2 linked regions of the Tribolium castaneum genome follow. The protein of the gene in region 2 purifies or fractionates together with the protein of the main gene of each other region. This does not show direct contact. Links are inferred from orthologs where the notes say so. Each region holds a gene or a part of one and is shown on either strand. Other genes may lie near its edges.

Region 1 (4,275 bases), on a different chromosome or scaffold from region 2:
TTCCTCAACCGGTGCCGCGGCATTCAACGGTGGTACAATCGTCGAAGGTTGGATGGTGGTGATGGGTGTCGGAAGGACCTGTCCTTGGCCCGCGGCGTTGACATGGGGCACCGGTCCGGGCATCACGTTGATATCGTCAGGATGCACGGCTCCGTTGACCTGGGGCACCGCCGGAGGGGCTAGAACATGCGGGGGCTGGTGGTGGGGCACCGGCGCAATGTTAGTCGGGTTGTAGTAATTCATGGGGGCTTGGTTCATCTGCTGGACGTCGTTCAAAACCGGGCACTCTTGCGAAGTCTCGTCTTCCGGTTCGGAGCGGTTTTCCGGTTCGCATTCCTCGTCGGAGATGATCTCGTCCTGGTATCTGAAGATGTCATTATGAACGTAGTACTTTTTGGGACTTTGGGCGGCCAATACGAAGGTTTGAGTGAAACGGCGCATCGGCTGACCGGCGTTGGATAACTCGCCGGTCACCTGGACGACGACACCGCTGCCGAGAGTGGCTTGGGAGTCGACTTGGGTGATCTTAGCGTGACAGTCGTGGAAATTCAGCTGCTGGATTTTTTGGTGGATTTGTTTCTGGCCGATGACAGGGCTGGTCTCCCGGTTTGGAGGGTCCAAACCGCCATGGATGAAAGAGGAGTTTTGGTTGTAAAATCTGAGAAATCACAAATTATGTACCTTTCTCGTAGCGTCTTGATCGACGTTTTGTTACGTTAGACAAATTTGTTAAAATAAATACAGAGGAAACTTTATCAGTTCCTGATGGTAGTGTCGTAATACTTCAGAAAAAATCAAAATACATTAAGAAGCTAAGACGATTGTAAATACTTTACATAAAAACCCAAATTACAGCAACTGGGTCACGATAGATGGCTTTTTGTTTCCCACGAATATGTTTAAATCTTTTAAGTCAGATAGCTTCAATTGAGACATTACACTAAGAGCAGTAAAAAGCACTTGCAAGAACAATGATTCCGAATTATTGATGCAGAAAGTAGTTTACCTTCTTCTACACAATTTGTTTTAATTTAATTTGAAGTAAAAAATTATTAAATAACGTCAATAAATACTCTGTCTTAATCTTTTGCAAAAAAGATAATTCTGTTTTAGCTAAACCCTGTGTAAGGTTAGGACAGCTACTACGAGTTTGTGTAATGTGTACCCTTGACATTTCATTTTTGAAAAAAATCTTAGGTAATACTCCCCTGACCTTACCTTAAGGTTTGATAAGAAAAGTCTTCTGAAAAACTGAATGAAAGCCAAAGCTTTCAAAAGTATAATTCGATAGAATTCCAGAATATAATTACGACTTCTTTCTCTAAACCGACCCATAAATTAATATGTAAATACTCGCAAATACAATCGAAACCAAAATCTTGTGAACTGTGAAGGATTCGTTTAGTTTATTGATCCGTAAACGCTCTTATAAAACACGTAAAAATATTTCAAATCGATGCTAATAAATCATATTTATTTTAATTTAACTAAAAAATAGTTCAATGAGTATTATTATACCTATAAGCATTTTTTGTTATTTTGGTTTGTAGAATGCTCGTAATAGTTGTTTTCACGTGTGTGATGTAATATGGTTTAAAGGTCATTCTTGTAAAAATGCCTCACCTCGAATTGAAGCTTTGGGAAATGAATTATCCATGCTTCAATTAAGTTTTTTCAAAATAAATAAATAAATCATAGTCACTGCTGTGCAATTAAAATTAATCTAATTAGTGTATTGATAAAACAGTAGGTATCTTACCTTCGTAACCTTGTTCAAAATAAAAATTCACTAGTTAACGCATTGCAAGGACACTTTCTGTAACTATCACACCGAGAAAAATTAAGCAGAATTTAGGAATACAACTAAAATATCTGTACGGTTTTCTCTACAAACGAAACTCAAATTGATTTTGGTAAACAAATTAATATTTTTTGTGATGTTGATAGCGATTTTTTTACAAAAGTTCAATGACCGTTCCTCCAACTCGACGCCTATGAACAATTGGCCAATAAAACTATAAGAAATAAACATATTGATATGGAATTCGTAATGCAGCATGGGCGTGCATCCACATTTATTGTTGTTAAATAAATCGCCACATATTACACCTCATAGACTGTTACAAAACATCAAACAGAAATAAATATTATAGCGAATTTCATTTGAAAATCCTACCTATCGCTCAACACTTGGTAAAAATTTGCATATTTGAAACAATTAACACAGGTGATAAATATGTTTGGCTGATTTTTGGGTGTAAAAATGTGCTTACCGGTGTAGATGGGCAGGGGCCTTGTTCAGCAAAGTGTAGTATTGTCGAACGAATTCCCTTCCTACACTTTGGGGAGATGGGGGAGCCTCCATTACCATTCCTGAAGAGTTATTTACAACTTGAGAAAACGTGCACCAGCAAAGAAGCCTGAAAACGGCAAAACTACCAGCACGCCTTAGGAAATAATCCCAATAATTCGGAGGAAAAAAATGTTAAAATGTGATAGACAAAGGGATTCCATAATTATTGCACACATGGAATGCAGATAACGAAATTTTCACCGAATCAAGCCTTGAGGCCAGTCCGGGCTTCGAATTTCCTTCCATCGAGGCGTTAGAAGGGAAATTCGGGGGCCAAGAAGTAAACAAATAGTCAGGATAGGGTGAAATAACCGCAAATTCTGCACGGCGAGAAAATGGATCATTGTCCATGTCGAATCCAGGAAAACCCGGTATGTGATAATGAACCAAAAAGGGGGAAGAAAGTCGCGCTTTCATTCACTTACCTCTAGATAGTCGGCGAAGCGAGCTAAGGAAGTATTTTCGGTTAAATTTAATTATTAACACGGTAGAAATGTGATTGAAATGCACAAACGCCGCAAAACCACGGGTGTAAACTTCATAAATTGCCAATTTAGTTACGATTTTGGACACCTTAGCCGACAGCGCCACTCAAGGACGTTTTTTAATCTAGAACCCAGGATTTCTTCTATCAATACGCATGCACAAACGGAAGTACCCTGTATTGATTTGGCGCCAAACTTAAAATTTACAGAAAATGGAGGGATTCACATGCACCATTTCGTCGCTTATGCTGTTGGCTTGCACCTTTAGAACTATTAAACACATGAAGGGTGGCGGAAGAAAATCAACAGTTTCAGTAAAAATGTACTCTATTTATTTCCAAATTTTATTAGACCACAACGGCGAACTGTCACAATAGAAATTAAAAAACTTTAAATTAATCAGGACACACATTATAATACATGTAGAGGATATACCTGAATGATGATAAATTATGTACACAAATTTTTTATTATTAAATTGTCATACAGTGGAGGAAGTACATGATGCCCCCCTACACAGATTACATAAACTTACTCTAAAATTACACTATCACTTAAGTTAACGTAATACAATGAAAAACCGGCTTGGCATTCCTGACGTTTAAAAAAAATAAACGGCTTTTTTATGCTTTATAGAAACTTAAATGTTCTGTACAAATTCGATACGAAAAATTGACAGATGAGAAGTGGAATGATCATATTCAAATCATCAATCGAAATATCAAATAAAAAAAGTAACTGAGAAACATCTATAAAAAAAGTAGATGATCAAACAGGCTATCAGTCAGACCAACTCACATACCAAAATGTGTACTACAACTAAATCTAATAGGGTTGATGCCTTTGGTTACGGCCGCCACCGCCGCCACCACCTCCTCGTTGTTTACCACCCTGATAACCCCCGGAGCCACCTGAAAAGAACAAGCAGTATAAAAATTTAATTAGTGATAAATCCTACTCACTAATAAAACTCAAAATATTCTCGCCACCTGCGTTGTTTGTTTGCCAGTTTGTTCTTCAAAATACTTTTTATAAATACTCATTTTTTTAAAAGATATAATCACTTCATTTTTATTTAAATTAGAATGCTGCAACCCTACAATGGTCATTTACTAATTTTTTAAAGATTAGTACGTGACGCAGTGAAAAAATACACGATGGTCTTACTGATTTTTTTTTGGGTAAACGCAGGTTACGACTATTGCTACATTAAAACAAATTTGTTTACTAAAAAATCTAATTTGAATTTGAAACAACACACAGTAACAATAAATGTAACATGATCAGTATGTACCTTTTCCGCGCGCACCACTGCGACCACCACCATATCCTCCGTCATAGTTACCATATCCATAGTCTGCATTCACGTAAACAAAAAAATATCAGTTAACTGTTTTCTACTATAAGCAAAACCAAAGAAAATTACGGACATGTTTT
Region 2 (4,250 bases):
CAAATTTTTGCTGCTTTGTTATTATCAACACCAAAATATTCATCAAAGTTCGTTATAAACGAAAAATTGCACCACATTTTAAGTCAAATCTACTTCGTTACCGTTACCGGAAGTTCGTTATAACCCGTCTCCACTGTAGTCTATTGGCAACTTAGAACGGAAAAAGTGTGATGCGTGTGACCATTCGAATTGTTAGAAAAAAGCCAAGATTTATTGTAATTGTAGCACATTGATTAGGTCGCTTTATCTCTATTTACTTCAATTGTAAATAGTCGAAAACCTGTTTGCAACACGGGGTCAGACGGACGATTATCACGTAAGAAGTATCACCATAATGAATGAATGCAATAAAAAAACGACATGAAAAAGCCTTCACGAGTGTTGTGAAAATAAATAAATAAATAAATAAAAAAGATATGCAGTGATAAAACGCTTCAAACAAATGATAATTTCGGTTTAATTTAGTGCAGTCAGATAGTTGGCTTTGTTAAAATTGTTAAAGTTTTGTTAAATGTTGCTTAAATTAACGTATATTTGAATTTGCTTTTCAATGTTGCCAAGAGGTTTGATAAAAACAAGTAAAACAAAATTTGTTTTTCTGTTTGCCTCATTAAGTCTTATTAACTTATTAAGTTTTGACAAAAATTCAATTTGATTGAACTGAAGTGTGAACTGTCAACTACGGATGATGTTTAAATTTCCCGCTATATCACAGAAGAATAATTTCAAAATTACCCCCCAGAGAACGCCAGTATTAGTTTTCACAAATTATAATTACTAAAAACATATCTTTTGTACAATTAAATGATAAATAACCATGTGTCCGTACTTTTCGTCATTAATTTTAAAAATTACGCATCAACAAAAAATATAAATATAAAAACTGTAACAAAATAAAAAATGTTGCTAGTGTTCTATTTAAAAAAATGTCCCATATACAGGATGATTCAAAAGTGACAAACTCTCATATAGTGTTGAAAGACGTTCAATTAAGCACAAAAATAAAGTAAGATTTTTTTTCAAACAATTTTTAATTTGTTTTCCTTAGCAACGGTATCGATTTTTGCTCTTTTGTTTCCTATGATATCGAATTTAATTTATTGTCGAATTAGCAAGTTTTTTAATAGTTTTGTACATCATAAGAAATTAATTGTTGTTTTTTTTTTTCAACAGGTATTTGTTTGATGTTGCAAAAGCTGTCGTTTCCGCTAAAGTTAAAAAAATTAGATCTGAAGCACCAAAAACATAACTCAAAATTTAACTTCAAAGAGCTCGTGAAAAAAGGCTTTGTCATAGGAACTTTTAATTCAGTTTGATGTTCTTTATCAGTACTCGAAAGATTGTCCGGTGCTTTTGAATCAGACACCTGTATAAATAGATCATTTAAATTACAAATTCCTGTATCTTTTTACTATAACATAATCAAATTTCGTCTTAACTTACTGTTAAGTCCAAAAATCTTGTTAAATATTTATTTAATAATTATAAGTATTATCGGTTCACATTCATAAAAACCACTTCCTAGTGTAAATTGTTTATATTTTGCCTGTGTAAGTCGGTCTCTAAATGAGCGCAAATGTTTCTAGTAATTTCTAGTGAGAAATTTGTCAGAATTGACAGTGTCTACAAAAATAGGTTAGAAGCTCTGAAAGTTTTTAAAGTCTGCTAATTATTCACTTAAATCAAATTTGTGAAGTTGTGAAAATGGTTCAAAATCAGGGTATTAAGACTAATATTTTGTTTTAATAAAAAATAACCAATTTATTTCAGTTCTTTACTGCGCTTGTACCAGGTGTCAAATTTTGAAAGCGAATTAGTACTGCCAATCGGTACACTAAAAAAACTGTAAGCACGGGCGTACCAACCTAACAACTCTACAGCTGGTTGTTATCCATATGAAAATATAGCATGTCGAAAATTTTTTTAAGATTTTGTAAGTTTTGTACGACATCCTTAACTAGATATTTTTAAAAAATCCGGAAATAAATCTCTTTAACGCTAGAAAAAGTTTTTTGATCTATGCTGACTTAGACTAGACACGCTATGATAAATTTCTTTTTTCCCAAAGAAACTTGATAATTTATTAGTTTTACGAAGAATTACTCAAAATTATTATCTCAGTATCTGACTACTTGATTATCAAAAATCAAACTGTCCATTGATTAAAATTTGTTCTTGAAATTGTTTGTTTTGCTAACTTTTCCAGCTTGCTATCAGTGACAAATAATGAAAACATTCATGTCTTATTACTTTCACGTCCAACTTTTGGAACCTCCTTGTATATTAACAGTCATAACCTCAAAGCAATAAATGCCAAAATGACAGTTGACAATTCCGTCAAGTGCAACAACCCTGCATAAAACAAAACATAAAACACCAAATTGGAGATTCGTAAAAAATTAATGAGGTCAATACCTCTGTTTTGGTCTTTAATTCGGCAATTATGTGAAACTAGTTGTTAGGGCATTGAACCTTGAAAAAAGTAAAAGCATTTTTCGCCATCTTAGGGGCTTTTAAGACCACCATAAGCAAAAAAATTGTCAAAAATCGCCAAACACCACATGATTGTCAAATGTCAAACAATATTGTCAAAATTGTCAATTTTCAACGTGTTTCGGGAAACGTCCCATTTTTGATGGATTGCGCTGCGTGGACAGCCCCCTATACTAACCTCAGCGGCCCTCCCCTGTTTTTCCTCTTGTTGTTCATCTCACCGTTACCGTGATGGCCGGTATGGTCCTTATTTCTCGTCGGTACCGGAATTTTGGAGTCGTTGAAAGTACAACTGCTCGAAAAAAAATATTCACGCGGTACGTTCGCGGCCCTCTAACAAAGCAGGCAGCTCCAAAGACACCTAGAAGCGCACAAAATGGCTCAGTGACGTAATCACTGCCACTGTCGATTTTACCTCTTCACATTCGTGGCAGACGGTACCGTAGGCGGTGGCGTCCTCCTCGACACACTTCGTTCGAGACCTGGTGCTTGGATGGGTGCTTTAAAAAACCGATTCCTGTGATAACAAACAATTATAACACAGCATTTGCACAAAGTGTTGTCTGTCAGAGTGACATGGACAAACTGCGCATGCGCACAACACACTTCGGTCATTGCTTCTTTCCTCTAGTTTGGTTTATGGCGGCAAAATTGGGATCAATAAATAAGGGCCTGCGCCACAAGGGACAACTACCTGTTGGTGGTGGCCTAGTTTACGGAGATTTCACCAAAGGGCTTTTTGCACGAGAAGGTGAGTTTTGATGTGTGTGGGTGCATATGCAATCGAGAGGGTACTGACTTATTGCCAACCTGACAGAAATAATTAACATATTTTGATTTTGAAATAAACTAATAATTAATTAATAAAAATGCGCCCCAGATGTTTTGCATTCCTATTTACTTGTACAAAATAAATTAACAAAAATCAGAATCTTAAAGCTCTAAACCCTCTGGGAATTGGTGCATACAATCTTTTTTTGATATTTGTGTTTTTTATAAGTGTAAGCTGTTTCAAAACTATGAAAACGCCAACGTTGCATTTTACCAATTTATTTTTTTTATATTAAATATTAAAATTGTTATTAATGCTTAGATCTCTCATTGAAAGTATAAATTACATTAGCTATTATTTTTTTATAATTCATAACAGCTAATTTTGAGAGAAAATGCGACACTGGCGTTTTTATGGATTTAAAACAGAAAATAAATGTAGTTCCAAGAAACATTCTTTATTGAAAAAATTGGCTAGACATTTTTTATTAAACAAAATGTTTATTAATGGAGTTGACACGAATTTATGATATCGGTGCAATGTATTGAAAATTAAAAAAAATATTTCATAAGTAATTCAAAAATCTGCGCCAACGTCGCATTTTCTCTCAAAATTAGCTGTTACAAAAAATTATTGCACTCCATGTCACATTTAAATTTTTTGCTGTATCATATTTTTGTAATTACAGTATTTTTTTTTTTTAATAAACAATGGAGTGTTATACTCAAAAGTAAAAGTTTTTGGAAATTGCAGATTCTGAAAGTAGACACACAATGATGTCCAGTAATGTTGGTCTGAGGTTTTTTAAATCGGTACTTTTTTAGTAATAATCGAAAATTTGCGCTCTGACGTAAGCAATGTCTCGACTAATGATTCGTCAGTCTTTCGCGGCATACAATTAACGCTACGACCTACGTTTGGGTTGGTAAACGTCAAATACAAATGTCAAAACCGTGCGTTGTCGATTATGACTGTGTTGTGTGCT

Evidence for each region.
Region 1: the proteins of ataxin-2 homolog (region 2) and rin purify together in Homo sapiens (affinity purification with mass spectrometry; 4 studies listed by BioGRID and IntAct, counting the BioPlex papers as one, with this or other methods). This does not show direct contact. The link is inferred for Tribolium castaneum from reciprocal best matches to the Homo sapiens genes ATXN2L and G3BP2.

The regions. Positions count from the first base shown.
Region 1 is NC_087397.1:6,619,599-6,623,873, forward strand, and holds the start of rin (ras GTPase-activating protein-binding protein 2), read right to left. Parts: upstream 2,939-4,275; 5' UTR 2,779-2,938; intron 2,436-2,778; exon of another isoform or gene 2,421-2,435; 5' UTR 2,372-2,420; coding exon 2,274-2,371; intron 659-2,273; coding exon 1-658. Other genes in the region: sqd (RNA-binding protein squid), read right to left, coding at 3,664-3,749, 4,133-4,195.
Region 2 is NC_087401.1:7,996,051-8,000,300, reverse strand, and holds the start of ataxin-2 homolog, read right to left. Parts: upstream 2,808-4,250; 5' UTR 2,710-2,807; coding exon 2,672-2,709; intron 1-2,671. UniProt on the Homo sapiens protein: Involved in the regulation of stress granule and P-body formation.